2 linked regions of the Coturnix japonica genome follow. The protein of the gene in region 2 purifies or fractionates together with the protein of the main gene of each other region. This does not show direct contact. Links are inferred from orthologs where the notes say so. Each region holds a gene or a part of one and is shown on either strand. Other genes may lie near its edges.

What was found.
Region 1: the proteins of KPNA1 (region 2) and MTA3 purify together in Homo sapiens (affinity purification with mass spectrometry; 3 studies listed by BioGRID and IntAct, with this or other methods). This does not show direct contact. The link is inferred for Coturnix japonica from reciprocal best matches to the Homo sapiens genes KPNA1 and MTA3.

The regions. Positions count from the first base shown.
Region 1 is NC_029518.1:21,360,750-21,363,208, reverse strand, and holds part of MTA3 (metastasis-associated protein MTA3), read right to left. Parts: intron 2,374-2,459; coding exon 2,238-2,373; 3' UTR 1-2,237. UniProt on the Homo sapiens protein: Acts as a component of the histone deacetylase NuRD complex which participates in the remodeling of chromatin.
Region 2 is NC_029516.1:69,214,623-69,218,122, forward strand, and holds part of KPNA1 (importin subunit alpha-5), read right to left. Parts: intron 2,195-3,500; coding exon 2,087-2,194; intron 418-2,086; coding exon 318-417; intron 1-317. UniProt on the Homo sapiens protein: Functions in nuclear protein import as an adapter protein for nuclear receptor KPNB1. Binds specifically and directly to substrates containing either a simple or bipartite NLS motif.

The DNA.
Region 1 (2,459 bases), on a different chromosome or scaffold from region 2:
ACTGCATCAAGCTGCATAACAGGGAGTCATATTATGAATCTCTTGCTCCTCAAAGGAAAAGAAGAAAAAATGAAGTCACAAGAGACTGGTACAAATACTAATACTTTTGTCAAAGGCAGAAACACACAAGGATTTTACAAAATACTGGCTAGACATTGTAGCACACTGACTGAAAGAATCATTCAAATACAAGCTTAATAAGGCAGGGTAAAAAAAAATATCCATCACCTCACAGCAAAAGACACTTTGAAAATGAGTCTGTTGTGTGTGATTTCAGTGATGCCTGAGGGAGACAATGCTCTTTCTGCTCATGTTTTTCATACTTTCAGTCAAATAGATTGCTGAATAATCACGTTTTCTTTATTTTAATGGGTGAGAAAGCTATTATGCAGAAGGTGTTTCCATATGTCGCAGTTAATAAAGGCAATTCTTGCTAATAAGAACGGGTTTTGTCTGTTCAGTATCTGATGAAAAGCTCTCCTGTTGTGAGGAAAAAGCAGATCGTGTGGATAGAAGAGAATTCTAGGGCTGCACACTTCAGTGGCTCCTGGAAAAATCTGTAAGCGGATGAATCCCAGGTCTTCTCCAATTGATTCCCAATCAGTGACATTCATTAGGGTGCTCAGGGTACTAGAAGCATTTCAGGACAAAATCTCTCCTTCTTATTCACCCTTTGCTTGCTGGTGAAGGACAGCGGACAAGACCTGGATCCATCACTCTGTAAAATCAAGTCCCTTCGGGAGGTCACTGTGCTTTCTTTTTCAAGGAAGCATCTGGATGACTGTCTCAAGAGTTCAAAATCTGACATGGTCAGCATGGCTAGTTACAGGCTGGTATCAGAGATGCTCTTTCAGACTGAAACTGTAAATAAATTGGGGGAATATATTTTGGGAAGGGGGAAATCACCCAGAGGTATGAGATACTACTTTCACCTTCATCTTTCTAACCACAGAGCTGGGCATAAATCCATAGCCAGATAATAACCTGACATCCATACAGTGCCATTAAAGTTACCTAATAAAGAACTAGAAAAAAACATCTTGAAGCTTATCCCAGCTTATGGTGATGTGTTCAGTGTCTGACTATCTGTTAAAAGCCATATGGAAACAAAATCGTTGAAAGACATAACTTGCTTAAGATAATCAATGTATCTCAGCTAGGTTTACACAGCAGTGCTACACTCTACTTGCCTCTTGATCTCAAAGAACGGCAGAGATTGTTCACCTGTAAGTACCTGAGTAGAAAAAAGACCTGCCTCTGTTGCCATTCCCACTTTCAGGGGACTGACAGCTTCCTACATGTAGTTACAAAAGGCACATCATCTCTCCATGGTAAGTCTTCACCTGTAGCCTTACAAGTATGAATTTCAAAGCATTCTGCAGCAAGACAACTTTCTTGTCCATATGTATAAAAATGTAGTAATTATTTAGTGGAGAGTCATTGCTAACAGGAAATACTCTTATTTCCTCATGTTTTCCTGGGAATGGTGTTCTGCTGGTTTTGACTGTTCCTGTAGACTTCAAGAAATGCTAAAAATCCCCAAAGAAAAAGGTGGATGCTTGCAAATATATAGATAATCAGACCGGCCAGATGTTCATGGCCACACATGATACTTTCCAGGATTTTAACCAAAGTTAATGTGGTCAGCATTTTAAACCTGGCCATTAATTCTGGGTACAACCTAATTTGGTCAAAGTTTCTGAGCTGCGGAACAACAACTCCTTGTTTCAGCCTCTGGTCGCTCAACAGTTCAGAAAATCAAATCCAAAGTGATTCAAGCCAATATTAAAAAATTCAAATATCTGAAGTCTGCAGCACTTTCTGAAGATGCTGACACCTAAAGGCTAAATCCTGCTACAAATACATGGCAATTGTTTTGAAAGTTACTTATTCTTATATTGCACCACTAGAAGGCATAGACAAAACTGTGGGGGGTACTCTGCATCCAAATTTCTTCCTTGTGGTCAGTATGAATAGTGCCTCTCTGACCATTCAAGTCTGGCAGGGGAAAGTGGGGGAAATAGCGGGACAATCATCAATAGGCCTGCACAGCGAACCTGAAGTAGCCCTTACAGAAACAAAGGAGAACAAGGGCTACTGTTGGATCCTGCCCAGAACACAGAACCCAGCCACAATATAGGTCCATATAGGTCCTGAAGATGTGGAAGGTCCCATTGCATCTGTGTTCACAATTAACAAGATTTTAACATAATTATGTTGCTGATGTTGTTGTGTCTTCAGTGCGTGATGGTTCTTGGCTCTATTCGTGCCTGCCTATTTTTCATGAGAGATTTTGTCTTCGCAAGAACTGGAGAACAAGGTGTTCTGGAAGCTCTTTTCAGTTGCAATCTGGTAAACTTCTTACGGATTTTTCTGTATGAAGGGAAGGAGGAAAGGAGGAAAGAGACAACAGCAGAGATAAATCTCAGTCTTTAACAGGCTACTGAAGAGATAAATAA
Region 2 (3,500 bases):
GATCTGCAAAGTCACTTCGGTGCACATATGCACACAGTTCAACTTCCAGAATTAATAAATTGTGAGCCATAGAGACACTGACTAAAATGCTTAAATTTACATTACATAACAGAATTGCACCTGCATCACTAAAAGTTGTACAGGTTTCACAAATAGAAGTGACTGTTACACACACCTAGTAGGCATATTACAAGAGAGTTCTGCTTGGACCAAACTCTTCACCTAGAAATTTCCACATGGAGCTTGATCTTCACAGCTGTCAAAGTCAAAATAGATGCCAAGGACACCCAAGATTTTTCAGCAAGTTCAATCCTTACCTTTAGAGAGAAGCTTTCGGAATTTCTGAGTGGCTGAAAGCTGCTGTTCTGGGCTATTGGAGAAAATCATCTCAATCATATCAGATGTGATAACAGCACTCTTGTATTCAGGTGGGGGGAGACAGAGCATGAGTGACAGAGAGCAAGAGGAAAAGAAAATTGAGGATTAGTGGGGAGAAGTTTACAATATTTGCTAAAACTGTCAATTTTTTTTTTACCCTAAAATAGCAAAAAGACAGAGAACTAATAAGAACAACAAATGAGTCATCATACACATACAGATACATAATCACAATCATTCTTAAGTATAGTCTTCTTCCTAGAAGACAATTTAGAATTTCTTTAAGCTATGCCACAAAAAGTTCTCTTCAGAATCTCTCACAAGTATTTTCTCCTTTTTTCTCTATCTCCCATCCTATAGAATAACTGCAATATTGTCAGCTTTAACAAAAAGTAGCTTAAATTAGAATAGCATTTACAGTTATACAAGAATACCGATTATTGTTTAGGTACTTGCAACTTCTATGTTTTAAGTTATTCTTATAACAAAATGTACAGGAACTTTTTTTTTTTTTTTTTTTTTTTTTTTAAAGCACTGAAATGCCTAATGCTTGTTATCATAATCAAATATACCACCTATTTTCCCACAATATTGACAGTTTCCATTAATATGGCCAAACTAATCAGTGAGTTTTTTTTATGAAACAGAAAATCTGACATTTTGTTTGATTTGATTAATCTAAATCCATGAAAAGTCAACTAAGGGATGTTGTATTTTTTTCCCCTCTCTTTTTGATCCAAAACATTATAGTGGTTAGATCCAAATCCTTAACAGACAGGAAAACAGACAACAGTGCTATAATACATATACTTAGTCAGTACTCGCGCTCTCAGTAACAAAACGTTAAGTCTAGTTTTTGTCACAGAAGCCAATAAAAAGGAACCAAAACACACAGAACTTTTTAGATCCTTCTTTTTCAGTACTAACTCTTAAGAACTAAAATTAATACTTGAAATAACGTGCATAACATAGGCTTTCCCTACTTTTCACCATCCATTTATTTCATACAAAGTTCTACACAAAGAATTAAATGGCATTTAGGATTCATCTGATGTTTTAGGACTACCTTGAAGAATAAAACTATTTTCCACTAATTATCTATTATGTTGATTATATGCATTTGAGTAATTTTCATTGTCTAATCTGCAATATAAATCAAAAGTAGTCTGATTTGCTTCAAAACACACTCTCAACACAAAAACAAGTACAAAGATCAATGGTTGCACTTCTGGACTGAATGAAGGCTGTATTTTAATTTATTCATTCTGCTACAGCCAGAATCCCATAACATTTTTCTTTCCACAAACAGGAGAATCCTAAAGAAATACAGAGATAGCATAAAAGCCTAATTTCCATTAGAAGGCAGCTATCCCATAGGATGAAATTCCAGCTTGGAATGGAGTTCAAGGACATTCCAGCTAAGCAGGTCTAGTTATGATTCCAACACCCCAATTTCAATTTTATTACCTGAAAATTTATTTACAAGCTTCCAGCCAGTCTCTTATAATTTACTCTTTATTATTTACTCCCATAAAATTTTTCTCCCATAATCTGTTTCAGGTCTCTTCACTGAAACAGGTGTTTGAGAGTTGTCTGGAAGCTCTTTGAATGCCATTTTCCACAAAATTCTGCAATTCCATTCCCTTAAACTCACTGTGTGACAGGAATATTGTTTGTTGAAACTGAGCAGGCCTTTCTCAACACTTACAGAAGTCATTTCCATGTTGTTCATTTGAGCCTCATGGAAGCCACCATCTGACATCACTTCCTCCTCCGTTTCTTCTTCAGCTGTTGCAACATTTCGGCGTTTAAATAACTAAAGAGAAAAAAAGCATTGAATAAAAGCACTACAAAACCAAGAGCCAACATATGTTTCTCACATGCCATATCAGGTTGCAATAAAAACAATAACCAGCATCTCCTGAAAGAAGCTAAAATACTGACACTATGACTCTTCTGGACAGTAAACAGGCACAGTTTAGTAACAGAGTGAATGAACACAACTGTGTGCTAGAATATTCTTCTGGCATTTCTGAAAAATCTTCACTGATACTCCCTCCTTGTCTCTACTGCTCACCCTCCATCTATCTTCTACCTCCCTCTAGCTTACAGACAATTGCTTTCCTTCCTCCCCTAAGATGAGCAGGGGCTCAAAGACATGACAAACTGCTGTGTACAACCATCCCCACAGAATGGCTACTGAGACTGGAAAAATTGAGTTCTGTGGCACAGAGAGGACTTGAGGGGATAATCACTTAAGAATGGTTTACAAAATGACACTGGGATGAACAAAACTTGGATGCTATCACATAAAGGAGGTAGCCAGTTTGAGATGTTATTAGGAGAGCTACAGAGGTTACAGTTTGACCCTTGATTTAGCTGTCTCACTGCAAGAAACTTTAACAGTGATGAGAAGGGATGGAGTGTGCTGCTTGGCCTGTCAAGTTCCCTAATGATTCCAGCACTGAACCATGTCAGATTTGCACCATTACAGAGGACAGCCAAGACAGTGCCCTGACATCAACCAGCTGTTATGCTTTTCTCCAGAGAAATCTGGAAGGAAACAGTACGCAAAGCCGTTAAGTCTACATCAAACCTAGTTCAATGACAGGCATCCCTGTGGAGTGCTGCTCCTTCCAGGCTAGCGTCCAAAGTGTTCTCCCAAGCTCTTCATACACTGCTGAAATACAATCCTATGCCAAAATCTATACACTGATAATTTATGTAAAAATTCAAAAACTTGACAGTGTTTTTGTAGGGTGATTTGGCTTTTTTTAAAAAAAAAAAACAAGTGAACTTTAGAAAAAGGTTAAATGAGTCTTCTTTGTAGAGGCTGAAAATGCAACACTAAGACAATAAAACGAGGAATAAGAATATATTTTATTTTAAAAATGAATACAAATAGAAATCGGGAAGTCAAAGAGTAAAATAGGCTTCTTCACACATGTCAAACAGCTCTAACCAGGAGATGCAATGCTAACTCTGGCATTCTCAATGCTAGTCAAGCATCTCAATAACATCCTCATGACCAGTGTGCCAAATACATAAAAGTACCTGCACATAAGGTCTGAAATTGTTGTAACAGTAAAGGATCAAAAGAAAAGACTGCTTGCAGCTCTACT